Linked DNA regions of Neurospora crassa OR74A. The protein of the gene in region 7 interacts with the protein of the main gene of each other region in a biochemical or structural test. Links are inferred from orthologs where the notes say so. Each region holds a gene or a part of one and is shown on either strand. Other genes may lie near its edges.

What was found.
Region 1: the proteins of NCU03947 (region 7) and NCU02771 form a complex in vitro, tested with the Saccharomyces cerevisiae proteins (2 studies listed by BioGRID, with this or other methods). The link is inferred for Neurospora crassa OR74A from reciprocal best matches to the Saccharomyces cerevisiae genes RSP5 and HEM12.
Region 2: of the proteins of NCU03947 (region 7) and NCU11129, one has a biochemical effect on the other in vitro, tested with the Saccharomyces cerevisiae proteins (2 studies listed by BioGRID, with this or other methods). The link is inferred for Neurospora crassa OR74A from reciprocal best matches to the Saccharomyces cerevisiae genes RSP5 and CPS1.
Region 3: the proteins of NCU03947 (region 7) and NCU02955 form a complex in vitro, tested with the Saccharomyces cerevisiae proteins (2 studies listed by BioGRID, with this or other methods). The link is inferred for Neurospora crassa OR74A from reciprocal best matches to the Saccharomyces cerevisiae genes RSP5 and MEF1.
Region 4: the proteins of NCU03947 (region 7) and NCU08295 form a complex in vitro, tested with the Saccharomyces cerevisiae proteins (2 studies listed by BioGRID, with this or other methods). The link is inferred for Neurospora crassa OR74A from reciprocal best matches to the Saccharomyces cerevisiae genes RSP5 and LHP1.
Region 5: of the proteins of NCU03947 (region 7) and NCU05276, one has a biochemical effect on the other in vitro, tested with the Saccharomyces cerevisiae proteins (2 studies listed by BioGRID, with this or other methods). The link is inferred for Neurospora crassa OR74A from reciprocal best matches to the Saccharomyces cerevisiae genes RSP5 and YIP5.
Region 6: the proteins of NCU03947 (region 7) and NCU02978 form a complex in vitro, tested with the Saccharomyces cerevisiae proteins (2 studies listed by BioGRID, with this or other methods). The link is inferred for Neurospora crassa OR74A from reciprocal best matches to the Saccharomyces cerevisiae genes RSP5 and SLA1.

Annotation. Positions count from the first base shown.
Region 1 is NC_026501.1:9,249,406-9,253,039, forward strand, and holds NCU02771 (uroporphyrinogen decarboxylase), read right to left. Parts: upstream 2,387-3,634; 5' UTR 2,233-2,386; coding exon 2,091-2,232; intron 1,994-2,090; coding exon 1,952-1,993; intron 1,888-1,951; coding exon 1,352-1,887; intron 1,291-1,351; coding exon 814-1,290; 3' UTR 708-813; coding exon of another isoform or gene 668-707; 3' UTR 602-667; downstream 1-601. Other genes in the region: NCU02772 (hypothetical protein), read left to right, coding at 1-329, 429-601, 668-707; NCU02770 (hypothetical protein), read left to right, coding at 3,127-3,634.
Region 2 is NC_026504.1:632,599-636,716, forward strand, and holds NCU11129 (carboxypeptidase s), read left to right. Parts: upstream 1-1,173; 5' UTR 1,174-1,342; coding exon 1,343-3,133; 3' UTR 3,134-3,496; downstream 3,497-4,118. UniProt on the Saccharomyces cerevisiae protein: Necessary for use of certain peptides as sole nitrogen source. May also cleave intracellularly generated peptides to recycle amino acids for protein synthesis.
Region 3 is NC_026501.1:8,595,719-8,599,949, reverse strand, and holds the start of NCU02955 (elongation factor G 1), read right to left. Parts: upstream 2,939-4,231; 5' UTR 2,612-2,938; coding exon 2,406-2,611; intron 2,300-2,405; coding exon 2,185-2,299; intron 2,096-2,184; coding exon 14-2,095; 3' UTR 1-13. Other genes in the region: NCU02956 (aspartic proteinase), read right to left, coding at 3,395-4,231. UniProt on the Saccharomyces cerevisiae protein: Mitochondrial GTPase that catalyzes the GTP-dependent ribosomal translocation step during translation elongation.
Region 4 is NC_026504.1:2,503,635-2,507,726, forward strand, and holds NCU08295 (RNA-binding La domain-containing protein), read left to right. Parts: upstream 1-1,632; 5' UTR 1,633-1,953; coding exon 1,954-2,217; intron 2,218-2,281; coding exon 2,282-3,048; intron 3,049-3,104; coding exon 3,105-3,204; 3' UTR 3,205-3,560; downstream 3,561-4,092. Other genes in the region: NCU08296 (mito ribosomal protein S4), read right to left, coding at 1-23, 126-605, 794-838.
Region 5 is NC_026504.1:5,495,447-5,499,253, reverse strand, and holds NCU05276 (Yip1 domain family), read left to right. Parts: upstream 1-1,509; 5' UTR 1,510-1,773; coding exon 1,774-1,818; intron 1,819-1,915; coding exon 1,916-2,372; intron 2,373-2,468; coding exon 2,469-2,911; 3' UTR 2,912-3,141; downstream 3,142-3,807. Other genes in the region: NCU05275 (ubiquitin-60S ribosomal protein L40 fusion protein), read left to right, coding at 286-286, 356-362, 454-634, 807-917, 984-1,070; NCU05277 (hypothetical protein), read right to left, coding at 3,396-3,503, 3,637-3,807. UniProt on the Saccharomyces cerevisiae protein: Possible role in vesicle-mediated transport. May be involved in proper membrane localization of Rab GTPases.
Region 6 is NC_026501.1:8,519,841-8,524,275, reverse strand, and holds the start of NCU02978 (cytoskeleton assembly control protein SLA1p), read right to left. Parts: upstream 2,896-4,435; coding exon 2,698-2,895; intron 2,557-2,697; coding exon 1,113-2,556; intron 1,051-1,112; coding exon 1-1,050. UniProt on the Saccharomyces cerevisiae protein: Component of the PAN1 actin cytoskeleton-regulatory complex required for the internalization of endosomes during actin-coupled endocytosis. The complex links the site of endocytosis to the cell membrane-associated actin cytoskeleton.
Region 7 is NC_026506.1:2,205,812-2,210,004, forward strand, and holds the start of NCU03947 (ubiquitin ligase), read left to right. Parts: upstream 1-1,262; 5' UTR 1,263-2,097; coding exon 2,098-2,129; intron 2,130-2,245; coding exon 2,246-2,268; intron 2,269-2,332; coding exon 2,333-2,371; intron 2,372-2,453; coding exon 2,454-2,559; intron 2,560-2,619; coding exon 2,620-2,753; intron 2,754-2,829; coding exon 2,830-4,193. UniProt on the Saccharomyces cerevisiae protein: E3 ubiquitin-protein ligase which accepts ubiquitin from an E2 ubiquitin-conjugating enzyme in the form of a thioester and then directly transfers the ubiquitin to targeted substrates.

The DNA.
Region 1 (3,634 bases), on a different chromosome or scaffold from region 7:
CGAATATCCCGGAGGAGATTGAGTGGGAGGTGTGTCAGAAGTGGTTGTTTCGGACGGAAGCGTTGGTGTCGTCGTCGTCGTCGTCGTCGTCGGAGAAGGAGGAGGAGGGGCAGTTGGGAACGACGCTGGAAAAAGAAAAGGGGCTGGTGTGGGATCGGGTGAGGACAAAGGAGGATGTAAGGTTGGTGCAGAGCCGGACGAGTATCAAAAGGCAGGAGGATACGCTTTTGGGACTTCCTAGTGTGGCGGTACGGGATGGAGAAGGGGGGAGGATGGTGGCGTGGGGGTTCATGGCGTTTGATGGGACGTTGATGACGTTGCATGTTGAGGTTTGTCTTTTCTTTTCCTTTTCCCTTTTTCCCTTGTATTGTCACTGTAGAACGGGAGAGGGAGGTGAAAGAGAGAGAAAGCTGACAAGAACAAAACAGGAGCAATACCGCGGAAAGGGACTGGCAAAGGCGGTGGCTTGTAAAGTCATGAGGGATCATGTCAAGGATTATGGCGATGATGGGTGGGGAGCTGCGGATGTTTTTCTGGAGAATTATAGGAGTCAGGGGGTTTGTAAGAGTATTGGAGGGCGGGTTGGGTGGTTGTTGTCTTGGTGAGTATTCCCGTTTCTTCCCTTTGGAATTTGATGTTATGAGAGTTGCTGCTGACATGAAAATAGGGCCGTGGTGGACCTGGCTACAGTTGGCGATGCCTTGTAGGCGTTGAGCAGGTTACTTTGAAGATTTGACTGAGGGGATATATGTCTGTCTAAATTTCATACATCATCATCACCGATTTTATTCGTACATACAACCAGGCACCTAACTAAGCCTTGGTCTTAGTCAACCGGTGAATCTCCTCAAAGAAGAACTTGAGGTCATCCGGGTTGACAAACGGCGTAATGCCATGGCCCAAGTTGACAATCCAGCCCTTGTGTCTGCCATGCCAATCAAAGCCCTGCACCATCTCCTCGACGACCTTGGTGATGGCCTCATGGGATCCGTAAAGGACACCAGGGTCAGCGTTACCCTGGAGGACCATGGGCCTGTCGCCAACAACCTTGACGGCCTCGGCGGGGTCGTGCAGCCAGTCCAGGCCGACGACGTTGTAGCCCATGTCGCAGGCGGCGTCGAGGGCATACCACGCGCCCTTGGGGAAGACAACCATGGGGACGGGCTCGAGACCCATCTCCTTGAGGCGGAGCGGCAGGTGCTTGGCGATGTAGGTCAGGTAGGGCTGGGAGAAGGTCTTGAAGGAGGAGGGGGAGAGCTCGCCGGCCCAGGAGTCAAAGACTTGGACGATCTGGATGTCGTTAGTACTGAATGGCCAAAGTGATATACCCAGATAAGAGGAGGGTCATTACCTGAGCGCCAGCCTTGACCTGCAGAGCCAAATACTCCACGCACAACTCCGAGATCTTCTGCAACAAGGCCTTGGTCTCTTCGGGATACTTGTAAATCCACGTCTTGACCTCCTTGAACAGCTTGGTACCGCCGCCCTCAACCATGTAGCACAGCAGCGTCCACGGGGCACCGGTGAATCCGAACAGGGGGACACGGCCGTCGAGCTTCTTGCGGGTGAGGGTGATGGCCTTGTAGACATAGTCCAGCTCCTTGGCTACGTCGACGTCGCGCTTCATGAGCTCGGCGTACTGGCCGTCGCTGGGCGAGCGCAGAGGGTTGGGGAAGTGGGGGCCCTTCTTGTCGACCATCTCGACCGTCATGCCCATGGCCTGGGGGATGACGAGGATGTCGGAGAAGATGATGGCGGCGTCGATCAGGCCGGCGTAGCGCTCAATGGGCTGGAGGGTCAGGGTCGAGGCGATCTCGGGGTTGCGGCAGACTTCAAAGAAGTCACGCCCGCCTTTGGCTTCATGGTACTCGGGGAGGTAGCGGCCGGCTGTGAGGATGAGAGGTGCTGCGTTAGATGTGAGAGTAAAAATGTGTAAGTGAGGACATCTCACCCTGGCGCATCACCCAGATAGGGGGACGCTCAACGGTCTCGCCTGTGTGTGAGAAAATGGGTGTGTTAGTGAATGAGATTGCATGTGCAAGATGAGATGACTCTTTTTTTTTTCTGTCTGAAATTTTCCCCAGACTTACCACGGGCGGCCCTGAGCAACAAGTCATTCTTGAGAGGAGGAAATTGGGAAGCCATCTTGTGTCTGTTTGTTGACTTATTGTGAAGATACCAGGCAACCAAGGCAGTGGACAAGGACAAGAGACAGAGAGAAGCCGCCGCCATGTTTCCAAGGACTTGTGATATCCAAAACAGCCGAACTGAGGTGGTAGAGGATCACCGCACCCACAGCGTCGTCCAGTTGAAGCTCGGCCTGAATTTCAGTGGGGTCCCTTTGGCGGTTTGCGGGGTCGATCTGCTGCCAATTGCACCCCTGGTACGATCGGGCTTCCACTAAATTTACCCCTCTTGTCCCTGGAAGTCTGTCAATCCCCCGCTTACCTAGAGTACCTTCCTAGGTAGAGGTAGGTTTCTCGGACAATTGGTGTGGCCTACGACTTTAGGACAAACAGGGGCAGTAGGTTAGGTTAGGTAGGTATGGTGATAAGTACAACCTCAAAGCCACAACTGCCCTCAAGGAAATGGAAGTTCAGACGAATGCAGGTACCATCAGCCACAAGTGGAACCTACCTACCTAGGGACACAGCACAGCTCCCGCTACAGCTTGCTTCCTTACTTCAGTTCCTTACTTCAGTTAGGTTGGAGATGCTCAGCTGTGCCACGCCGTTGCCTGGGCCGCCTGCCCGCAATCGATTGTCCATCAGACTAAAAAGTTGATATCCACAATTCCCCCTCACGACCGGGACGGAACTCTCACCAGTCTCGAGCTACCAAGCCACCTAAGCTGTTCTCTTCGTTGTGTCCCGTCGTACGTTGCTGGTCTCGCCATGTTCTTCTCAACACCAATTCACTCTCTCTGTCTGTCATGATATACCTTTTTAATTGCTATCATACACTACATCATCTCGACACCTCAATCAACAAGCACATATCCCCCCCCTCCGATGGATCTCACTAGGCTGGGATCCCCCGACCACCCACCCCTCCGCCGCCCGTGAACGCGAGTCAAGCTCCCACGTCGAGGTCTCCTCCTTCTCCTCCGCTCCGAGTCCACTCCCCATGACTCCACAAACCTCCCACTGCTACCGCTTGCTCCAGCTGAGTCGAACGCCGCGAATCCCCTCCATTCCCCGAAGCCCACTCCCGACCGGCCCTCCGTGTTGGGTCGCCTCCGCCGCCGACTTCCCCCATCTCGCCAGCTTTGTCCAGTCCACACGGAGGACGGTGGGGAGCGTGCCCGGTCCGCTCGAGGCCCGCCGCCGCTTGGGGAAACGGAACCTCGGAGATCTCAACGCCTTACAATGTCCGCCCACTCCACCACCATGGGCCTTCCCTTACCCAGTCGACCTGAGTCAGTGGAATTGGGAGCCGCCATCTTCAGCTTCGGCGCAACATGTTGCCTTTGATCGTACGGCAATTGGGTTCGATAATTCTGCGCCAACCGATTTGCTCGATAATGCCGACTTCTTTGTAAGCGGTTGGACGGCGCATCAAGACTTGCGACAGTCGAGAAATGAACCGATAACACCACAGTTTCTGGAACAGTGCGCGATAGAGGAGGGAATAC
Region 2 (4,118 bases), on a different chromosome or scaffold from region 7:
GAAACGGAAGCCCAAGCATAACTAAGGTCGTTCGGCTTGATTTTGAAGAGGAGTCGGGGAAGGAGAAGGTGTTGTGATACCCATTGCTTTCATCCAATTGCTTTTCAGCGTTGCATTTCCGGCGTCGGGTTTGTGGTTCGAGGGATAGACGGGATATAATCTCCAAGCTCAATGTGTGGAACGTCATGTGCGACTTTTCGGGTTAGATTCAACGTTCCATGGTAGCATTTCACTTTCGGACACTTGGTATGTAGTACCGCAAAATAGACAGACATTCATGACAGACAAGAAGAACTTTGTTCTTGATTCAAAAGGGACAAGACCAAACTTAATATGAATAAAAAGGAGAGGGAGTGGACCCAAAACAAAAAGCCGAGTCATGAGACGTCCCTGATCCCAGATTCATTGGGCAAAAGTCGCAAAAAAGAAAAGTTCAATTGCGCCAGCCGCGAATCGAACGCGGGGCCCATCGATGGCAACGATGGATTTTACCACTAAACCACTGGCGCTTATTGATATCACCTGTATTTGAAACTTGCAACTATGAGCATCAGCGGTCACCTCAAAACGCCAACCGGACTTGGAGTTGAAGGCATTGTTGGGGCCAAAGAATTGAACGCAGATCAAAAGGAAACGGTAATTAGATACTGTGGTGTAACAAACGAACTTAACATGCGTATACTCGTTGGATGGAGAATACATTATGGTACCAGCTAATTTGGTGCTCCGACGCTTGGGCAGGTAGGACGAGCGTACATGTGTTCCCCGGTTGAAGGGTACACATGTAGGTTCGTCCGAATGTTGAGGAAAAAAAAAAAAAAAAAAAAAAAAAGAAAAAAAAAACCGGTTGCCCGAGTGAATTGAAAGGAAATGTCTCCCTCACCTCACGGCCTTTCTTTTACATCATCATCGCCGTCCGTATAGTTGCTAACGGGTCAAAAAAGATCAGCCATCTCGAAGCCGAGTGTCCCTACCACCATCATCCGTCCAGATGACGACTGCCCCAACCCCACACGGCCGGGAAGACGATCCTTGCCCAAGAACGGCCCACCACTTCTCGGCTCCGGTTCCTGGGAACCAGTGGGGATGGCGTGCCCGCTTTTGACGACAGATAAACACAGCCCGCGCCATGCCCAATCTAGGAGGTGTCAATTGTCGTACGTCTCGGCAATTCCGGTCTGACTCCGGGCCGCTGACAATCAACAGCCACCCACCATTACCTAATAATCGCTGTTTATAAGCTGCCCAGTCATCCCCAACAACGCTGATGTCTGTTTGACCACCTCCAGTTTCAACCGTCTTTCGAACACGAAAGGCAACATCATCATCATCAACCTTGAATATGGAGAAGGGAATCTCTCTCCCGGTGGCCTACACGCCCCCGCCGGCCCAGGCATCCACCACCCGATGCAAGTCCCTCAAGACCGTCGCCAAAGCCCTCGCCCTCGGTCTTCCGCTCTACGCCCTCTACGCCTGGCACACCAACCAAGCAATCATTCCATCTCTCTCCCGCGCAAATGTCAACTTTGCCTCCCAATGCGAGCAACCTCCTCCGCTCAAGCCCAGCCAAGATGAGAAGCTCGACGAGGCCTACGACTTTCTCTCCACCGAGACATTCCTCAACGCCTCGGTGGCCCGCCTGTCGGGCGCCGTGCGCGTCAAATCCGAGTCCTTCGACGACCTCGGCGCCGTCGGCGAGGACCCCCGCTGGGACGTCTTCTACGACTTTGCCTCGTACCTCAAAAAGACCTTTCCCTTGATCCACTCCAAGCTGCAAGTCGACAAGGTCAACACCCACGGCCTGCTCTACACCTGGGAAGGGTCCAACAAGGACCTCAAGCCGACCTTGCTCATGGCCCACCAGGACACCGTCCCCGTCCCGCCCGAGACGATCCCCGCCTGGACCTACCCGCCTTGGTCCGGCGAGTACGACGGCAAGTACATCTGGGGTCGCGGCGCCGGGGATTGCAAGAACCAGTTGATCGCCATCATGGAGACGGTTGAGCTCCTGCTGGAAGCCGGGTGGGAGCCCAAACGCACCATTTTGCTGTCTTTCGGTTTCGACGAGGAATGCTCCGGTCGACAGGGCGCTGCTCATCTCTCCAAGTTCATCGAAGAGCGGTACGGGAAGGATTCGCTGGCTGTGATTGTCGACGAAGGCGCCGGCTTCGAAAAGACGTGGGGAACACTGTTTGCCAAACCGGGAACGGCCGAAAAGGGATACACGGACGTTTACATCACGGTGCGCATGCCGGGCGGCCACTCGTCTATCCCCTCGGACCACACCAGCATTGGTGTTTTGAGCGAGCTCATCACGCGCATCGAAGCAGAGCAGTACCGCACCCATTTAGAAGAGGAAAACCCGTACTTCACCCAATTACAATGCGGCGCAGCGCATTCGCCTCACTTCTCACACAAACTCAAGAAACTGCTTGCCCACCGGAAGCGCCACTCCTCCTCTTTTTCCTCTTCTTCTGCTGTTGAAACCTGCAAAACAAAAGACTATCTAGCCCTCGAAGCCGCGCGCGAAGGCGGCCCAGCCATCAAATACCTAATGCAAACCTCTCAAGCAGTCGACGTCATTTCGGGCGGCATCAAAACCAACGCTCTTCCCGAACGTGTCCGCGCCACCATCAACCACCGGATCAACATAGGCGAAACCCCCCAGGTCGTTTACGACCGTCTTACCAAGCTCGCCGCGCACGTCGCCAAGCGCCACGGCCTTGCCCTCCACGCTTTTGATTCTAATGATGATGAAGACGAGCAGCCCGAGCCACCCAACTCCCTGATCCTCACCAAATCCTCCCACGAACTCCTCGTCGCACCCATCACCCCCTCCTTCCCCTCCAGTAGAGGACCCTTCGCGGTGTTAGCAGGAACCACCCGCGCCCTCTACGGTGAAGAGGTGATTGTCACCCCTGGGATCATGACGGGCAATACAGACACACGATATTACTGGGACGTGACGAGACATATATTCCGGTGGGGACCGGGGTATGACCCCGCCGATGACGATGCTGGGTTTGGAAACATTCACACGGTAAATGAGCGGGTGAGTGTGAGGGCGCATGTGAATGGCGTGAAGTGGTTTTGGATGTTTTTGAGGAATATGGATGAGGTTGAGGTTGAGTGAGGTGGATGGGTGGATGTTGATGGGTAGAAGATGGGGGGGGGGGGGGGTGGAGCGGTGGGTCGAATGGATGGGGTGGAAAGATGGATGGGGTCTGGTGGAGGTTGAGTGGGACTCGAAGGAATAGGATGTACCTTATAAAGATGGGAAAAGAAAACACAACGTGAAGAGGGCGATGGGTATGGGAGAAATGAAAACGAGAGGAAGTGGAAGAGAGGGGGAGGAAGGGACCGTTGTTTGAACGATGGTGGTGGAATGGAGGATGCACGTGTTGATGATGCCGTACATGAATTGATGATGAATTGATGAATGATGAGTAGAGGTACCTGCAGTTTATTCCTCTAGGAAAAGAAATATCAAATGAACTGGTTTTGTAACAGTGAAATCTCCAGCAACACCTCCATCCTTGATCCTTGGAGGAGGACCGGTGATCCGATCAGACACTTGCGACCTCCCAATGTCATTCTGATGAATTTTCCGTAGATGCATGCTCCTGACATTTGCTGCATTGTCTGGCCTACGATTGTGCTGCATCATGTGCGTGTTCCCTCGACAACGAACGCATGCAAGATGCAGGAGGTGTTGACTTCTTGTTGGATTGATACACCACTTCGAGTTTTGGGTCATGTACTGAATTCCCAACTCCCTTGTGTGATGACTGTCTCCACACCCCATGGCATATTTGTACACATTATCATTCTCATCTTTCGTTTCTAGAGAATCTACCTGTGAATTCCATTGGATCTCAATATTGACCAAAGTATGGGTTGCCCGCTACGCCGAACTCCGTGAAAACAGCAAAGGGAACACATGTGTACTCGTCCACCTAGCCATGCACAATGCGAATACCCTTCCGCAGGCAAGCAAATTCGACAAATGAATCTCCTGGACGGTGCCCGATCTTCAAGCAATACATCGCAAGCCGACTAGTGACTACACTGAAGGTGACACCAACCACGTCCTTGGCGACCTGTTTTAGTTCATCCAT
Region 3 (4,231 bases), on a different chromosome or scaffold from region 7:
TTCAACAGCCAGCTTACTTTGTGCGCTTGGCCTCGAGCTCCTTCTGGTACTTTTGCACCAACTCCTTCTGGAGGTGGGGCGGCGCAGGAGCGTAATGGCTGAACTCCATGGAGAACTCGCCCTTGCCCTGGGTGGCAGCGCGCAAGTGGGTGGAGAAGCCGAACATGGCGTTCAGGGAGCAGTCAGCGACCATGGTGAACTCGTCGGCGCCGACCTCGGTATCGACAATGGTGCCGCGCTTGTTCATCAGCATGAGAATGTTACCCTGGAACTCGGCGGGGGCCGAGATGGTGGTCTTCATCAGAGGCTCGAGCACCTGGCCGCCGGCGGCGGTGAAGGCCTTGCCGAAGGCCATCTGGGCGGCGAGGTTGAAGGCGTAATCGGACGAATCCGTAACGTGGGTGGCACCGTCGGTGATGACCATGGAGGAGCCGATGACCTTGTGGCCGAGCAGGGGGCCCTTGATGCAGGCCTCCTGAAAACCCTTTTGACAGGCAGAGATGTACTTGTCGGGAATGGTGCCGCCGACGACGCGCGACTCGAAGTGGTTGTCCTCACCGCCGTTGGGGTTGGGCTCGATCCAGCCGACGACGCGGGCGTAATCACCGGGGCCACCGGACTGGCGCTTGAGAAGGTAGTCGAACTCGGCCTTCTGGGTGATGGTCTCACGGTAAGAGACGCGGGGCTGGCCAGTTTCGCACTCGACCTTGTACTCACGGCGGAGACGCTCAACGTAAATCTCGAGATGCAACTCACCCATGCCGCTGATGATGGTCTCCTCCGACTCCTCGTCGACATGGAGACGGAAAGTGGGATCCTCACGCATGAAGCGGTTCATGGCCTTGGAGAAGGCGTCGGCGTCGCTGGAGCGCTTGGGCTTGATGCTGAGCGACATGACGGCGTCGGGGACGTACATGGAGCTTAGGGAGTAAGGGAGACCACCGTCGGTGAAGGTATCGCCAGAGGCGCAGTCGACACCGAAGACGGCGCAAATTTCACCGGCACCGATCTCGTTGACGTCCTCCATCTCATTGGAGTGCATACGAACGATACGGGGGATACGGACCTTCTTGTTGCCACGGGAGTTGTAGAGGTAGGCGCCCTTCTTGAGGGAGCCCTGGTAGACACGCATGTAGGTGAGCTGGCCGTAAGGGTTCTCTTCGAGCTTGAAGGCAAGACCGACGAAGGGAAGGGAGTTGTAAGGGACGAGCTTGACCGGCTGCTCGCCCTTGGAGCGGTCGAGGGCAGTGTTGTCGGTATCGTTGGGGTTGGGGAGGTAGTCGCAAACGGCGTCAAGCATGGGCTGGACACCCTTGTCGGCAATGGCGGAACCCATGAGGACGGGGGTGAACTTGCAGGCGATGGTAGCGCGGCGAATGGCGGCCTTGATCTGCTCGGGGGTAGGGGTCTGCTCCTCAAGGAACATCTCGGCAATCTCATCATCGACATCGGCGAGCTTCTCGATAAGTTCCTGTCTCTTCTGCTCGCAAAGCTCCTTGATTTCGGCAGGAATCTCCTTGGAGATCTTGAGGTTGACACCACGCTGACCGTCGTTACGGATACACTTCATGTCGATCAAGTCGACAACACCCTCGAGCTCCTTCTCAGAGCCAATAGGGACCTGGATAGCAGCGGCGGGAATCTTGAGCTTGGTGTTGATCTGCTCGACGGCCTTCCAGGGGTTGGCACCCATACGATCCATCTTGTTGACGAAAGAGATACGGGGGACGTTGTAGCGCTTCATCTGTCTGTCGACGGTGATGGTCTGGGACTGGACACCAGAGACAGCGCAGAGAACCATGACAGCTCCGTCAAGGACTCTCATGGCACGCTCGACCTCGATGGTGAAGTCGATATGGCCGGGGGTATCGATCAAGTTGATGTGGTAGGTCTCCTCCACGCCCTTCTCCTTCTTCTTCCAGTCGGCGAAAGTGGCGGCAGACTGGATGGTGATACCTCTCTCTCTTTCGAGTTCCATGGAGTCCATCTTGGCGCCGACACCATCGCGACCACGAACCTCGTGGATGGCCTTGACTCTGCCAGTGTAGAAAAGGATGCGCTCGGTCACGGTGGTCTTGCCGGAGTCAATGTGGGCCTGTATATAGCTAGCTGTTTAGCTTCTATCCCCGTCCTCTGTCCTCGGTCTCTTATCTTTCATCTCGGGCGCGTTTGGGGTTCACATACGGCGATACCAATGTTACGGACACGGGCCAGTCTCTTGGCCTCCTCGGGGGTCATACGGGCGGCAGCAGCCTCGGGGGTCATGTTGGAAGCGGCGAGTTCCTTGGCCTGCTTGAGACTAGAGAAATACAGCGCGTATTGTCAGCCGGGTCTGCTGCTGTGGCATGCTGCCCGGTGCTATGACGCCAGCCATGACAGCCTTCGTTTCACGGGAGATATCTTACGCAATCTCGGCCGCAGTCATGTTAGCATTCCTCAGGTAGGAGGACCTGCTGAACAGACGGCGGCTCTCAAACTGGGAGCCGGCCGACCGGAGGGACGGCGTCTCGACGGCGGCGCGGCATGCTCCAAGACTGACGGAGCGAACACCCTGGCGCACGGCGGCAGCGCGGCCGGCGTGGAGAGTAGCAACAGCCCGAATCACCCTCATCTTCGCTCACACGCAGCGAAGGGGGAGGAAAGAGAAAGGAGTGACTGGTGGGGAGGAAGGAGTGGTGCCGTGGATTTGGAAAACTACCTAAAGTTTCCAAAGGAGAAGCACGGGGCAGGATGCGGGATGCGGGATGCGGATGCGGATGCGGCAGCAACTGACGGCGGGGGGAGTCGGGACGAACTCTACCAAAGCCCGGGCATTGCCCACGAAATTTTTAAGTGGGTACTTTTATCTTTGCTGGGGCCATCGCGCGGGTACCATGGCGCTAAATATCGGGGGCGTGCGTCCATCGACTGCTGGGTACTCCATCCACACACAGCTCCCCAAGAACCATCAAGGTCCATACACTTATCATCAACTGAAGCGTGCCACGACGAACCCACATCGACAACCTCACTACCTTGATCTTCTTTGGACAGTTAGTATCCGAGACTCGTTGAAGGTTGAACACTGATCATACATTACTAGCACTATAAACAAACCACTCCAAACAGAACAGTAACTCAATACCATACCCAATTGCCATCCCTCACTGTTTCAACCCATGATGCCTAGTCCACGTAAAGTAGGTACCGACCATAGGATAAACAAACTACCCAAGTCCTAGGTAATAAATGAGTATTGTTAGGATCCATCCAAAAACAAAACCGAATACTCTTTTCAACTAACGCTACGCCCCTCGGGGTATCGTCATCATCCTGTTCTGTGCGTTTCTACTCCCAAAACAAAGAAAAAAAAAGGAATGCCATATCCAAATCCAACCGAATGCAATGGCAGAGCCTATAGCAAGACGAATACGCCAGAACCAACCATGGCAAACACCATCGCAATACCCATCACAGACATCTGAGCGACACCAAATGCACTTGGCATGCCTGCCGATGCATTCTCGTCCTTACCATCGTTGCCCGAGCCACCAGTATCCGAGAATCCTGAACTCGCCGCAAATGATGGCATAGTTGCAACGGGTCTATTGGTGACCGCCGCTTGATTTGGCGCCTGTGTTGCTGACGGGATCGTCGCGCTCATGCTGGCAAACGCCACAATGTTGCTTTCGGTCGAGTTGAAGTCCGTCTCCGCCAAGCCGATTTCATTGTTGACCAGATCGTAGACCACATATGCCGACCGCAGGAAGGTGTCGCCAAGGAGGTATGGCGCAGAGGTAGAATTCTGAATGCCAAACTCGCATACATCCTGGCCTTTGTTTGGTCCGCTCGTGTACTTCGGAGGGTCTCCACTAGTGAGATCGAGGACCAGCTCGTCCATCCGCACAGTGATGCGAGGGCCGTCAGGGCCGGCAAACCCAAAGGAAAAGTAGCCGTTACTAGACTTCTTCGAGCAGGGAATGACAGCCAACTCAAGCCTATCAGAGTATTCTGCACCGACTTCCTGCCAGATCTGATCCACGATGTCTTGCGGCAGATAAGACAGGGTCGTACCCGAGTCGAGCACTACCGGAATGGGGAACTCCTGAGAGGTAAGCGTGTCGTTACCGCTAGGACTAATTGCTTGTAACGATGTCAAGGCGACGATGAAGGAGAAGTAGTAGCCGTTACTACTAGGGTAGATTCGGATTCGCGTCAGGTCGCCTTTATACTTCTTTGTGTCGATGCCGCC
Region 4 (4,092 bases), on a different chromosome or scaffold from region 7:
AGGAGGTAACCGGGGTGTTTCATCTGCAAAAGGATCGGGTAATGTTAGCGCCGAAACAAGCAGCTTTGGCATGGGTGCACTGTATTGTGGGATTCGGTATTGGAACGTTGTGATGGTGTACATGCCTTCTTGCCGTTGACGGTGACGGCACCGTGCACAACCATCTGGCGGGCCTGTCTCGCACTGCTGGCAAAGAGGGCTCTGAATATGGCGATATCGAGGCGTCTCTCGAGAGGCGCAAAGGTCATTTGCTCGTACGGCGTGGGAACCTTCCTGCCCGGGTTGGCGATGACTTGCTTGGCAGGTTTCTCGTCGGCGGTCTTCTCGTAGGCTGGGGGCTCTGAGAGGCCGGAACCGCGGCCGGCGGCTTGTTCGCTGCCGTTATATTTGGCCATGTATGCCGGGTCCATGTTGACGACGGCCGGTAGGCGACGGCTAAACATGCGCGCCCATTTGCGTTCCTTGATGTGCTCGCCGTGGTATGCTCGTGTCAAGGACTTGGCGAGCCATTTCTGCTGGAAGAATGTCTTGCCGCTGATTCTGGGTTCTCTCCCGGCCGTAGCCAGGTTGTACAGGTTATATTTGTTCCATGTCGGCCTGATGGGCTATTCGGAAGAAGAAGAAGCGCACACAAAATACGTCAGCATGATCGCGTGTGGTGGGTGTTGAGTGTCGTGGCAATGGGACTGGCAGGTAGTAGGTAATGGGGCGAATGGGGTGATGATGCGGCGGCGGCGACGATGACCAACGGCAAACCCGGCGACGGCGGCATAAAACACCGAATAGCACATACCTTTTTCTTCAAACTGTGGTACTTGAACAACCTCCGGATCTTCATGTTGGGTGTGGTGTGTTTGGAGGAGCTTCGGGGGATCGGATCGGACTGTAGGCCCCGTGCTTTTGGCGAAGTGGACGGACCGGTTCGGCGCAGGTTGTTTGGAGATTGTCGAGTCCGGAGCGGTCCGGGGCACCTAGCAGCACTGCCAACGAGGGGAGCTTCCCGGGGCCCTTCCACCTCTTATCGGGCGCCGTCCTCCGAAAATTATTTCAGACCCGAATTGGAGCACGCGCTCGCCCATTGGTCGCATTCACGTGAGAAGCTCGGGCCACTGTGCGCGTCAACTCCAGGCCGGATGGTGGAGAACTGGCAGGCACAGGATGCGGGAGCTAGAGCGCATGCGGTATAGCTCCGCAACCTCTTGGCGGATTGCGGGTGCAAGTGGAGTGGGGCTAGAAGCAGAGCCAGGCGGTAGAAATCGGCACAAAAAGTCTAAACCCAAAGGCGGTTCCCTTGGACCTGGGTGGGGCTGATTTGGTTGCTTGCTTGGTTTCGCCGCTTCCATTTTTTTGCGCTGAGGGGGAGGTTTTGACAAGTGCAGTCCTCGATATGACTCCAATGCCGACAGACCCTGGAAAAAGTCAGGGCAGATGGGTTACGCTGCTGTATGATGATGGAGGGAGGGAGCTCAGTAATGGATGGACAAGACTGAATCAAACTCTCGATCTTTGACAAGGGAATTGAAGTGTGTGTTACAGTTCAGAATTATCGAGGTCCTACCTGACTTACACTACGTGACTACCTCTACACTTCACACACGTCCTGGGATTTGCTGGTGAATGGCCGACTTTCCTGTCGCGTCGATCAACAATCAACCCTGCACCAACCCAACACCATTCCCCCACTGCACCCTGCAATAACATTTTGCGCCTACCGCCCCAAAACTGGAGTGCACCTGAAGGACCCACTAAATAATTTCGTCGTTTTGCCTGCTTGGTCCCCGGTCTCCAGTGCACTTTCTGCATTTTCATCATCCGTTCACCATTATCTCTCTCCCGGCCATCTACATCCATTCTTCTCTTCCGTGCACGCGCGTCACGTTAGACGGTCAATTGCCTTTACAGCCGCTTGTACTTTACCCTTTCAAATACCTACAGGCCACTCCGACCTTCATCATGAGCGATACCACCGCCAACACTGAGGCTGCGCCTGCCGTCGAGAATGTTCAGACCGAGGTCCAAACCGAGACTGTAGAGGCCCCCGTCGCGGAGGCTGCCCCCGCCGCCGAGGAGGCTCCCAAGACTGAGGATGCCAGCAAGGAGGAGGAGAAGAAGCCTGAGGCTACCAAGTCTATCGACCGCGCCGACTACAAGAACAACAGGAAATACGATCCTTCGACCCAGCCCGTCACTGACGATCCCGTCAAGATCCGCAACCAGGTACGATCAGACTACAAAAACAGTTGGCATGCTGCGTGTCCCCGTGTCTAACAAATAGTCTTAGGTCGAGTTCTACTTCAGCGACAGCAACCTCCCTACCGATAAGTTCATGTGGGAGACGACCGGAGGCGTGGAGAACAAGCCCGTTTCGCTCAAGACCATCTGCAGCTTCAAGCGCATGCAGATGTTCCAGCCCTACTCGGCCGTCGTCGCCGCGTTGAAGGAGAGCGCCTTCTTGGATGTGTCTGGCGAGGAGGGCCAGGAGACGGTCAAGCGCAAGAAGGCCTACACTTCGTCCTCTGATGCGCAAAAGGCCCGTCTGGCTGCCAGCGTTTACGTCAAGGGTTTCGGCGAAGAGACCGGATCCACTCAGTTCGACATCGAGGCTTTCTTCACCAAGTTTGGTCAGGTCAACCTGGTCAAGCTGAGGCGTAACGAGGAGAACAAATTCAAGGGCTCGGTCTTCGTTGAGTTTAAGACGGAAGACGAAGCCAACGCCTTTGTTGCCCTGAACCCCGCCCCCAAGTGGCAGGATCAAGAGCTCGTCATCAAGAAGAAGAAGGATTACCTGGACGAGAAGACCCAGCTCATTAAGGAGGGCAAGATGGAGCCCGGCACCAGCAAGAAAAAGATCTTCTTCGAGGGCAGCATCAAGGGTGCCGAACGTGGCCGCGGACGTGGCGGCCGCAGCGGTGGTGACAAGGGTGACTGGAAGTCGCGTCGTGATAACGACCAGAGAAACGGCTTCAAGGGTGGCCGTGGTCGTGGAAGGGGTGGCCGCGGTGGCCGTGGCGGCCGTGGTGGTCGCGACAACCGTGACCGCAACAACGAGTAAGTTACAGCCATCCGACAACTGGGTTTCGAACATTTACTAACGTGTGGTATAGTAACAACAACAAGCGTGCCCGTGAAGATGACGGAGACAAGAGTGCTGAGCCAGCGGCGAAGAAGGTCGACACTAAGGCTGAGGCTGTCGAGCAGCAATAGAAGGCCGGCATTGGTATGCTCCAAGTTCTGGGCCGGACGGACTGATGACTTGTTCCTGATGAATAATTCTCGAGGCTGTAAAACATTCGGACGGCGTTATATGGGTGGTGTTTGTTTTAAACTTAAAAGGGCAGGGATTTCGTACTACAACATCCGATATTGACCTTGATAGCGTGCTGTGGTTATTGCATGCGAATATATACGCAGTATAAAGGCGATGGTTCTAGAAGTAAGCATTGTATCACTTTTGCTAGACAAGTTGAGTGAATGGACTACTAGATGTTTTATCATGTCAGACCTTCATGCTGTTGTTCCCTCAAAGATTGGAAGTTGTGGTCTCTGATAGCTAAAAAAACGCCGACTGGATTATGTGTAGATACCAAGGTGACGCGGCCATAGTCAATGCTTTGGGTAGACAAGGAGACCGTCTCAGGCGCTTTGGGGAAACAGCCATTCGTTTACTGAACAGTCATTTTCTTTCATGCTGGGCCTTCCACGCTGAGCACGCCTATGATATCGTTCCAGACCGCAAGTCGCCATTTACCAACTTGGGTCTTAGGGTACTATGTATCGATGTCTGGGCGTTGTGTTGGCTGCAAGTACGGGATGAGCACACGATGTAGTGTAAGATGGAGTTCTAGTATACCTAGTGCAGTTTGGGGGCTGGACGCAACGAATGAGATGCGATGCAGTATCTACGAAACAGACACAGTGCTCGAGATCCTCTTCTGATGCTTTAAGGAACCTCCGTTCGACCAATGATATTGCCGAGAAAACCTCGCCATGGGCAATGATCATGATTACTAACACTATTATAGCGTGTGTAGAAACAATTCAGAGCCTTTACAACTTGCAACTAGGTCGAGGTTCAAAGCTGCACACGCACTA
Region 5 (3,807 bases), on a different chromosome or scaffold from region 7:
TATCCATATTGAGCATTAGAAGAAGAGCACAAATCGGGTGCGGTTGAGGAAACTACTTAGCAATCGTTGGTGGAGGCGACCTTCTGGTGTTGAAGATGGAGGTACAGTGCAGATATGAAGCTGATGAACACTGTGACATGTGCACGCACCACTTTGCCCAGAGCGGCCGTTCCCATAACCCCACCATCATAGCTTCGTCCTGTTGCTGTTCCCCGACATCATCACATCACTCCCTCCTTCACCACTGCACCTCCAACTGACCACACCTAGGAATAACCGGTCAAGAGTAAGTTAATTACACTGCTTTAGACCAAATCCTCAATTCGTCGAGATGCTAATCTGACCTGAACCGCAGTGCAAATGTGAGTTTTCACGACGTTCCGCAGCACGAAGCAATCAAGCGGAGTTGAGTCAGGTCACTAACAAACGGGACGTTGTACCCCTGGTGTATAGCTTCGTCAAGACCCTCACGGGCAAGACCATCACGCTCGAGGTTGAGTCCTCCGACACGATTGACAATGTCAAGCAGAAGATTCAGGACAAGGAGGGTATCCCGCCCGACCAGCAGCGCCTGATTTTTGCTGGCAAGCAGCTCGAGGATGGCCGCACCCTCTCCGACTACAACATCCAGAAGGTCAGTGGACTGGTGGCCCCACAGCGCGCTTATGACGTAGATGTTATAGGGGTTGGGAATGGGAGGACAACTGCTGTGGTCAACTTCCATTTTTGCGATGGCCATGGGAACAGAAATGGGATTCAATTGATTGGTGTCATGGTCGACTTGCTAACATGGATTTCTGCTATAGGAGTCAACCCTCCACTTGGTCCTCCGTCTGCGCGGTGGTATCATCGAGCCCTCGCTCAAGGCGCTTGCCTCCAAGTTCAACTGCGACAAGATGATTTGCCGCAAGTGCTACGTACGTATACTCTATATCATCTTTTCGCCTTCTCAAATGTTGAACCAAGGTCTAACTTGTTTCTAGGCTCGTCTGCCTCCCCGTGCCACCAACTGCCGTAAGCGCAAGTGCGGACACACCAACCAGCTCCGCCCCAAGAAGAAGCTCAAATAGACAGCTCAGTGTTACGTACCAGCATCAGGGTTTGGCGCATTTGGGCTTTTTGGGGGCAAACGGGTATGGTTATGGCAACGGCATAAGGACAACAGGACAGGGAAACACGGGACCTGGGAATGGATGGCTACGGCTGAAAACGTCAAGTCGAGGACTTCTACGTAGCTCATGAATAAACTCGGACATTGCCCGTGGGGATACACAAAAGGGCATTGAAGCTCTCCTACCAAAAGCAGTGATCTTGTAGAATAATTTGAGCTTGATTATGAATGTCGCTCGAAACAGCTCAACTACCTTGATGGCCACTTTGGACCCACGTGACATATTGCGGGGAGTTACTGCAGGGACCGGGAATCCGTTAAGGGGGGGTGCACTGCTGCGGTTTCAGGACCCCAACAGGGGGCGTGCACGCAAGTGTACAGCGGTACGTACCTCTACCTACCTACCTCTACCCTTTGGTGTACGCGGCTCACGTTGAAACAGCTGTCCACCACCAGCTTCCGGAGGGACCAGACCACCTAAGTAGCTTTGGAGGAGCTTACCTATCGAGAGACCGACTTACACTAAGCATAAACTAATCATACCATTTGACTCCAAGGCGATTCACAGCTATCGGCGTGTTCCCAAGCTCCAACCAAATCACCATCGAAAGACTTGTCATCACAGCTCACATCCGACCAACAGACAGCAAACAACCGCCACCATGTCCAGATCAGGCTACGATGCAGTCGTAGACGTCGACGACGAGGTTAGTTCGCCCTCTCCTCCCCTCCCATCCGCTCCCATGGTAGTCATTGATCTTTACATACCCAACTAACCACCCTTTTTTCTCCTTCTCTCTCCAGGGCGACCTAGGCCACACCGACCTCCAAGAAGATCTCGAATTCCACCAATCCAACTTTTCCGAATCCTCCCCCCTCGGGCGCAACGGCACCAAATCCACCCAACACACCAACACCACTTCCACTTCCTCCCTCGGCGGCGGGTTACTTCCCGCTCCCGTAACCGCCGCCCGCACCTCCTCCAACTCGGGAGGAGGAAGCAGCAAGCGCTTCCTCTGGACGCTCTCCTTTTACGCGCAGTTCTTTGACGTGGACACGTCCAGCGTGCTGCAGCGGTGTTGGGCGGCCCTGTACCCGCGAGCCAACTTTTTGGATGTGTTGGAGGGAAATCCGGACCTGTACGGGCCGTTTTGGATCGCGACGACGGTGGTGCTGATTTTGTTCTTGGGCGGGACGATTAGTGATTATTTGGCGCAGACGGGGAAGGAGGCGTTTGCGTATGATTTTCGGTTGTTGAGCGGTAAGTTTTTTGTTTTTTCTTTTTCCCTTTGGGTGAATGGGTGATTGATTTTAGTAAAATTGGGGGCTGATATGTGATCAAAAAAAACAACAACAGGCGCCGCTGGTCTCATCTACGGCTACACCTTTGTCCTGCCGGTCGCTTTGTACCTTGCCCTGCGATACTTTGGTTCGGAATCCGCCAACCTGCTCGAGTGCTGGGCTTTGTACGGTTACTCCAACCTCATCTGGATCCCTGTGGCGCTGATCAGCTGGTCGCCGATTACCATCCTCAACTGGGTGTTTGTGGGCGTGGGGTTCGGCGTGTCGGTGGCCTTTTTGCTCAGGAACCTGTATCCGGTGCTCAGCGCGACGGATCGCCAGACGAGCAAGGTGCTGCTGTTTGTCGTGGTGGCGCTGCACTTTGGTTTGGCCCTGGCCATCAAGGTGCTCTTCTTTGCGCATGGAAGCCCGGCGTTGAAGGATGGTCCGAAGGGAGCTGCCCCGGGTGGTGGGGATGCGAAGCCTGCTGATCCGGCTACGATGATGATGATGTTCTAGGGGCAGGAGGTTAGGATATGAAGGAGATAGGCTTAATAGGAAGAGAGGTACGTTTGGAGCTGTGTGGCCTTGTATCTGATATTTGATGTTTTACTATCTTCATCCGTCAACAAAAGGTTATGGGGGAGGCGTTTGCCGCGATTGGTTTCTGGGATTGATAAGTTCAAGTTCAATCGGATTTTCAATTCAACCTATGACTTCTGCTGAATTGAATTGCGCTGGCAGTTTATTTCACCCATTTGCTGCCCTTTCTTTGGTACGCTGTCCTCCTCTTTCTATCCCGGGTATAACAGGTACACTACAATACGTTCCATCCATCCAGTTCCCAGGTGGTAGAGGTAGACATAAGAAACGCCTCCTCTTAACTACTCCCCTTCTTTTTTCCGTTTTCCTGACCATGCCCTTATGCGTACCCATCATCCTTTTTTATCCCATCCCTCGTGCCGCCCCACCACCCCTCGTGCCGGGGAGGGAGGGACCCCTTTCATTGTCCATACTCGCTATCGATACTTTGAACGATCTGACCTGCCCATAGGGTAATCAAGCCAAACCGCTTGCCACTTCCCCATGCCGCTGCTCGTCTCGAAATCATCTCAAGTCTTCCTAATACTACCACCCACAACAACCCCCCACATTGAAAAAAAGAATCAGTGCCCCATCCTTATTGATGAACCAAGTAGGAACAGCCCTTGTTGTCTGGTGCTGTTCATGGGACTACTACTCACGGACTTGCTGTTGCTCTTGCTCTTGCTGCTGTCTGAAGACGAAGACGGTGACGAAGAAGAAGAAGATCCAAAAGTGGAGTGGAATTTGTCCTTGAGGAGACTGGTTCGGCTGGAGAAACTGGATGTTGAGGTGGTGGATTCGGCGTAGTGGTGGTTCTTCTTCTTGGGTGA
Region 6 (4,435 bases), on a different chromosome or scaffold from region 7:
CAGGAGCAGCAGCAGCCGGAGCTGGAGCCGCGGAGGGCGGAGGCAACGTGATGGCCGGTTGCACAACTGGCGGAGGAGCGACCTTCTCGGGTTCCAAAGGCTGGGTAAGCAACGACAACTCCTGCATCGACTTGGTAAGAGCCGCCGGCGGAGGGGGGGCCGGCGCGTCAACCAGAGCTGGCGCAGCAGGGGCTGGAGCGGCAGCGGGTGCCGCCGCAGGAGCGGGAGCAACGGCTTGCGCAGCCGGCTCAGGGGTTTTCGTCTTGGTAGGCTTGACATCCCAAGCATCATCATCAAAGCCACTGGAAGGCTTCGAGGCAGACGGTGTTGGCGTAGCCGCAGCCGTAGGAGATGATGACTTGCCACTACCAGCACCCGAGTCCTTAGAGAAAGCGTTGGGATCAACGGTGTTGCTGACCTCGACGGGGGGCGCCGGCCTGCCCTTCTTCGTGTTGTTGCGGAGCGCACCTCCTGGCCCAGAGAAGAGTCCTCCCTCGCCCTCTTCGCCTTTCTTGTTCCGCATGTACTTGTTGTCCAGGTACCGCATGACCTTGATAATATCACCTTCACGCAAGCCCAAGTTCCTCAGCACAGTAGCATCAACATCTGGCAAGACACTTTCGTCGATAGCCTCCCGCAGGAAAGCTTGAGAATACCGTTCGCACAAACCAACCTGTATGTCACAACCAAGGAAGAAGTTAAACCAGTCGTAGTCGGGCTTCTTCGAGGAATCGATGGTGGCGCCAACCCGGGAGCTGGAACCACGGTCTCTTTCCCTGTCGCGCGTCGATCGACTAGACCTCGAAGACTCACCGGCGGATCGCTTGTTCCTAAGATCGGATAGGGGCTTGTCTTCGTCGAGAGATTCGCCAGTTACGCGCTCCACGTACTCGAGATCCTCAACTGACATCTTCGAGACGGGCACGGCGATCTGCACACCGTTCATCTTGTGGAGCCTGATCTTGCCATCCTTGACACCGAGGAACTGGGCCTCAACGCTGAAGGACTTGGATCGATCGGTCCATGTTCGCACTTTGGAAGGATCGGGCTCTGCGACAAACTGTCAGTATTCTGCATACTCTGAAAGAAAATCTGGACATGGGTGTACTTACTCGACTTGCTTGACGACTTGGAGCTGCTGTTCTGACCGGGTTCGCGCCTACTGCTTCGCTGTTTTCCTCTCCTGTTATCATCTGTGGCCGGCAAACTACTATTTCGTTCTTGCAATTGCAATCCTGGGCCTACCTCAGAGTTCCTCTTCTGCTTCTCCTTCTCTTCCTCGCGCTGGGCAGCCTTGATAGCCTCCTTGGTTAAGCGCGCCTCTTCCAGGCGGTTCTTCTCGACTTCCGACATGCCCACGGCAATACCGGTAACGGCCGTCTCCGGCTCTTCCCACACGCCGTTGATCTCAATGTAGCTGCTGGGAACCACACCCTCCTTGCCGTTCTTGACGCGACGCACCATCCACCACTCGTCACTCTTGGTATCGTCGAGAATAACTACCTCATCACCAACGCCGACAGTAACCTCGTCCTCACCCTGAGCCATAAAATCATACAGCACAGCACCCTTCTTCTTCTTGCCTCCGGCTCCCGCGGCAATGATCTCCTTGAGTCCCTCGAGGCGCACAGTTCCGGCCATGTCGCCCAGCATCGCGACGATCTCTTCAGCGGTGTCCTTGGCGCCCGCATGAAAGTCAACGCTCTTGCTTGGTCGTACGAGCTCCATAAACACGTGCTTGCCCTCCCGAGAGTAGTGTGTCATGCAATCGGCCCGCCATTCCTGCGATGGACCGTCGTGGGAATGTTCCGGCGCTATGAGAATCATTCCCGTCCTCAGGTTGATGCCCAGCGTGGTAGGCATCTTCTTCTTCTTGCCCATCACCGACGTCATCTCGTTGATGTTGTACATGTGGAAACCGCCAGGGGTAAGCGCGGCGGTCTGAGGAGGAGGAGCCTGGGAGGTTCGCGGGCTAATGCCATAGTCGTCGGTGTCGTGGGCTGCTGACTGAGCGGGCGGCGGCACCGGTCTGTAGGATTTTTGCTCCGGAGCAATTTGCGAATCGCCCCGCGGGCGGCTCGGAAGCGGCGGGGACCTTACCTCATTTTCGTAATCTTCCGAAGCGTATGACTGTCGCTGGGGCTGGGGAACACTGATAGGCGCTGGAGGTTGGAAAGAAGAGCGGTTGGCCATAACTCCGGCGATGGCGGCGGCAGCAGGGTTGGAAGCGGCGACAGGGGTGCTTGGCTCGGAGGGCACACTCCTGGCGGGCAGGGGCGGGCTGGCTACATCGACGCTGACGCTGGGTGTCCTCTGCGGAAGAGGAGGAGGGGGGGCAGTCGCTTCTTCCTCCTCCTCGACCTGGCCAGCCTGGCCATCGCCCAACTCGATGTAGTTGGCGGGCGCGAAGCCGTAGTCGCCATCGTGGCCAACAAGGATCCAATCGGGGTCGGAAGTGTCGAAGACTGAGAGCTGCGCATCCTCGGGGAAGGAGAGCTCTTCGTCGGTCTGACGCGTGTACTCGTAGAGCGCGCGAGCGTATGATACGGGTTTCGCCTGGCGTCATGGTGTGCGCGGTCAGTTCAAGTGATCCATCTGAATGCCAAGGCCAGCCAGCTTGCTATCCTCCAAGCAGGTACAAGTGCCCAGATGACACTGCACGCAATCCAGATCTAGACCTCGGACCACATTACATACCTCCTCAATGTAGTTGTTGGGGATCAAGCCGACGGGCTCGTCATCGTCGGCAGCATTGGCCTTCTTCTTCGCCTTCCACCAATCGTCCTCCTGACTCTTTTCCAACACATAGAGAATGTCGCCCTCGGAGATTGTCAACTCGCCCTCGCCCTGGGGCGTGTAATCGTAAATGGCCCTATAGACGCCGAGGAAGCCCATGGCTGCTGCGGGAAATCTGCTCGTATGATGCCCTTTGGATGGCAGCCGACATGAACCGACGCAAGGGAGTTGCTGTTGCGAAGAAAGGAATTGGGGAAAACGAAAGGCGCCGTGGTGCGAATGGTGGCTGGTGGTGTGGTATCACAAGTCTTGGTTCTGCCGGGGAAGGGGGGGTGTGTGTGTGTCCGGTAGGAAATGGAATCAAGGAGCGAGCGGCGGCGGCGGCGGCGGCAGCAGCGTGTGAGAGCGGGTGACGCTGGGTTGGTGACGGGTGACGGGGGTGCGGCGCTGCGGCTGCCGGGCAGAAGGTGAACGAGGATGGAAGCTCTTCTAGAGTGTACGGGTGCTCCTGAAGCAAGGGGTAGCCGCTGAAGCAAGCACTGTAGGTATGCCCGCTTGCGCGTAGGATTGCGGCCGGCCAAGGCCCTCCTGTATGGTACCTACGGATAGGTAGCCTGTAATTTCGAGCGAGGGAACGTCGGGAAGATGTCGACGACAGCGAGCACGCGCGGCTGCGGTGACCCTGCGAGGAATTTGACCTTTATCGTGATCAAGAGTCTGGAGTTGCGGTCGAAATGGTCGAGCCAAGGGAGACGTTGGAAATTACTCTATGTCCAAGTCGTGGACCCAAGTGCTCGTTTAAAGGAGCCGGTCCGGGGGGTGTGTGTTCGGGGGGGTGGGGGGGTTCGCTGAATTTGGGGGAATTTAGACGATGCAACGAAGCGGTCGCGAAGACACCGCGATCTTCATGGATGCTATCACCAAAATGTATATTTATGTAATTGCAATGTCCACGGAAAATCCATTCGAGATCAAATCAAGCGTAGGTAGGAAGTGCACTATTGACCCGAGGACAAATGAACACCTTGTTCGTACCTTACAATTTGAAACCCCAAGAACAGGTACGTAACCTCCCAGCGCTGGAGGTGTATGTACCTAGCTTTTATTTGGAATAACCGCAGCGCATTTCGAGGGTTCAGGTCAACCCCAATGACCGACCAACAACATCGAAGCAAGGTACTGGCGCAGGAACGAAGGATTCTTGTCCAAATTGAACCCGAAAGAGTGAGATCGTGCAGGAGCAAGCACAGCCCAGCCGCATCTCGAGCGCTGCTGGTACGGCATAGCACCTGAATAAGTACCTCGAAAGCGCAACTTTCACTTTGTTACACAGTATCTATTGATTGGCCGTAATTGTGGCTTAATTGTGACAGTCAACTTGGGCTCTTCTTCACGCCCAACTTTCCCATCAATCAATCAAGAAACAGCAGCCAGCTGGTCCCGACCGGCAAACCCGGGCATTCATCAGCGATCTACTGTAACCGCACGTGTAGATAGCGTCATATCCCGGGTTTTCCCTCTTGACATTTGGGCGCTTGGTGGATCGTTCATTTCAGGTCGGGGTCCGCTGGGCATGGGAGCCGTTCAGCGGGTGTCGATGTTATTTATACGCCCCCTGAATTGCATTTGTTTCGTCGTAACTCCCTCGCGTACGGTAACGTAATCATCAATACAAGCTAGTAGCAACTATTGTCGACCC
Region 7 (4,193 bases):
CCTAGGTAGAAGAGCTATACGCGGATTGCGCATTACCTCTACCACTTTTTAGAAGTGTCGAACAAAGGGCGCTCCACATTTGCTGTCTCGCTTCGTTCAATGATGACAGCCACTAGTGTAGTGTACAAACCTAGTGTACATATGATGGGTACCTCTATGCTTCCATGAACTCCCCATCGTCAAAAGCACCTCAACAAAAAAAGAAACCTCAATTGAAAATCCAGAGATGCAGTAACGCCCCGCAGTTCCGTCGCACGCGAGGGGTATCAAAATGGAAATGACGGGCGTTTATGTCGGTGATGCGCTATTGTTGGAACAGCAGCGTCTCGGTCGGCGGCAACGGGGGTACACTACATGTACTGGGATACGCTAAGTAGCGACCTAACGCCTTTTTGCACCCCGTGCGGTGTATCGTCGTTATGGGATGTAGAGGTGCTGTGCGTTGAATTGTCAAGGTTGAGGTTTGAAGTGTTCACTTTCCTAATTGACTGCCTCTGGAGGTTTCTTCAAAGTTCGGTAGTGGCTTGATATCTGGTAGATCTGCGCAAGATCATCATCATCCCCGATCGTTGGGCTACCTCTTGTGTAGAGTTTTTGGAACAGACAGCTTCTACTACAATCTTGGCGTTTCCTGGAGAGACCTCGGAGCTTGGGGCGGTCGGTGGAGGTGCTTTCCTACCCCTAGTCATGGAAAGGCATTCAGGCCAGCATAGCTACCTATTCTAATTCTCTGTGTCGATGACTGAGCCGTGATCCATGGGATATTTTCCTGACAGGGCATCAACTCCTAAGAAAAGACACGGGACTATGTGATCCATGTACACCAAGGTTGCTCTTTGTGTGCCAATGATGTTGTTGATGTTGATCTCGAGATCTGGATGCCGTGCCAAGCATGGAGTGAATGTGGCCCCCTGGGAGTCTGGGACTCGAATGACCCGACCAACTGCTTAAGAGAAGAAGTCAAGTACCGCACTGTGCGCACCTTCCGCTTCAGTTCTCGCTCTTTGCAGGCTTCTGCTAACTAGTTCCTGGCCTAAAAGTAGTCACTCGTTAATGCGATACCTGAGCTACTAACTGAAAAGTTAAGCTTCTCGCACAGAGCATGCTAGGCCAGCCATACTTTCCCGTTAATGCTGTTGAACCATTATGTCTTGTCACCTCCCCCTGTCTCTTCACCAATGCTAGATCCAACTTGGACTGTCAATTTCTTGGCTTGGGTCGTTGCACCATTGCACCTTTGCAACATCGCAAGACGTCCAGGTTTCTCGGTCGTTTTCCCTCCCATCCTTTGGCTCATCCGTCGGTTGCAACTTAGTGAAGGTCATTGAGCTCTTCACCTGGACCTTCTTGGGGTTGGTCCGTCGAACCCAAGCTCACCCACCCGCCACTTCCAGCAGCTTCACCGCGACAAAACAACGACAGCATTCAACCTCGACACTACTAACTAAAGGTACCCTTACCAGACGAACCTAGACATCCGAGCGAGTTTACACTACCTGCTGGTTGATCCACAGAAGTGGTTTCCTAAGTATCAGACCTGCCTTGCCGACCTTGCTAGTACAGAGATTACTTAGTATTACCAAGCCACAGCCGTCCAACCTTGGCCTCTTGGATTGCTTGGCCTTTCCTTGCAGTTCGCCTTCCGCCGCCGTGACTACCTGACAGCGTAAGATACCCAAAGCGGGGGGGCCGGCTGGCCACACACGCACGAGTTACCAAGAGCAGCACAGCCTCACCACCTACGGGCGCTCAAGAGTCCCTCTAGCTTCCATCTACCACCTACTGCCACCTACAGAATTTCATCCACCCTGCCGCATCCATTCCGTTGCCAGTGACTGCGCGTTCTCGTCAACGTCAGTGTCCATCGCAAGGAGAGTTGGCCCTTTTGTAACAATCATTCAGCCTGCTTGTACCATCGTCGACTTGTCCTCCTTTCATCCCCGCCCCGCCTGCATTCAGCCGCGAGTCCTCGATCCCAAACGAGCGAGAGCGACCGACTACCCGACCCGATTGCGACCAGCCTCTGCTTGGTCCAAGAAACGAGACGAAAACTTAAAGCCCCGCGTGCGAGTTTGTTGACGCGCTCCATCTGCAACAATGACCAGCAGCCGGGACTCGGGGCTGCCGGCGTAAGTTCTCCCACGACTGGACTCTCCATCTACCCATCTTGTCTGCTTTGCGTCGCCCTCAGGGACCGCGGATTATAAGCGAGAGAACAGCCAGCTAACAACCACCACGATTAAAGCCAGCCCAATCTCCGCGTAACAAGTACTCAGCCCCTTTGCGACGAATGTGTCCGATGACCAACCGGTGTACTAACATGCCCCTCTAGTCATCGCCGCCGATGGTCTATACAAGCGAGATGTCTTCAGTATGTTTCTCCCCGTGGCCAGGTGTCATGCATCTTCTAAGCCACTTCCAGGTGGCATATGCTAACCGCATCATCATCATAGGGTTTCCCGACCCGTTCGCCGTCGCTACCATTAACGGTGAGCAGACAAAGACCACCCAGGTCTCCAAGCGTACCCTAAACCCATACTGGAACGAACACTTTGATTTGTAGGTTCGACCTTAACTCAGATTTGACAGCCCAAGGGCCAGCTGGCTAATACAACGTAGCAAAGTGAATGAGGACAGCATTCTGGCTGTCCAGGTGTTCGACCAAAAGAAGTTCAAAAAGAAGGACCAAGGTTTCCTCGGTGTCATCAATGTCCGGATAGGGGACGTAATAGAATTGGCTCCCGATGCGGAAGGTAAGGTTTCACTGCAATTCACATGTGTTTGCAGGTTGACAGCGCGATTTGGGACTGACATGCACCACACCCACAGATCAGATGCTCACGCGGGACCTTAAGAAATCGACCGACAACCTTGTGGTGCACGGCAAACTGATCATAAACCTATCTACTAACCTCACAGCAACTATGAGTCGCCTCGGTCCCCCTCCATCTTCGAGCAGACCATCACTACTCACCCCTCAAAGTTCGGTTATTTCTAACGACAGAGCGAACGAACGTCCTTCATCAGCCATGTCCGGACCTAATGGAACCGCCAATAACATGACTTTGGCAAGCCGACCCGCCAGCCTGGCTGTTTCGTCGTCGTCGACAGCCCCGACCCCCGGGACAAATGGAACAGCCCCAACGAACCCGTCGACCCTCGTTCCGGCGCAAGCCAGGCACCATAGCACGCTTAGCCCCTTCGAAGATTCAATGGGAAGATTGCCAGCTGGCTGGGAACGTCGCGAGGATCATTTGGGGAGGACATATTATGTTGATCATAATTCACGGACCACGAGCTGGAATCGGCCAACTGGCACAGGGGCGGCCGAAAACCGTACCGCCGAAGCCAATACTCAAGTCGAGCGTCAACGGCATCAGAACAGAACACTTCCCGAGGACCGCACTGGCGCCAATTCCCCCACCCTACAGCAGCAGCAAGCTGCCGCCACCGCCAATGCTGCCACTATGATGCATACCGGGGCGACAACCCCCGGAACCGGTGAATTACCTGCTGGTTGGGAGCAGAGGTTTACCCCAGAAGGAAGGCCGTACTTTGTCGACCACAACACGCGCACTACTACCTGGGTCGACCCTCGACGCCAGCAGTACATTCGCATGTACGGTGGCCAGAACAACACGAACGGGACCATTCAACAACAGCCGGTGTCCCAGCTCGGTCCCCTGCCTAGTGGTTGGGAGATGCGGCTCACCAACACGGCTCGCGTCTACTTCGTGGATCACAATACCAAGACAACGACCTGGGATGATCCTCGTCTGCCTTCGTCGCTCGACCAGAACGTACCGCAGTACAAGAGAGACTTCAGGAGGAAGCTCATCTATTTCCGTTCGCAGCCTGCTATGCGGATCATGTCCGGACAGTGTCACATCAAGGTCAGGAGATCGCACATTTTCGAGGATTCGTTTGCGGAGATTTCGAGGCAATCGGCGACGGACCTGAAGAAACGATTGATGATCAAGTTCGACGGCGAGGACGGCCTCGATTACGGCGGTCTGTCGCGCGAGTTCTTCTTCCTCCTTTCTCACGAAATGTTCAATCCATTCTACTGCTTGTTCGAGTATTCGGCCCACGATAACTACACCCTCCAGATCAACCCCCACTCGGGTATCAACCCTGAGCATCTCAACTATTTCAAGTTCATTGGCCGGGTCGTGGGTCTGGCTATTTTCCAC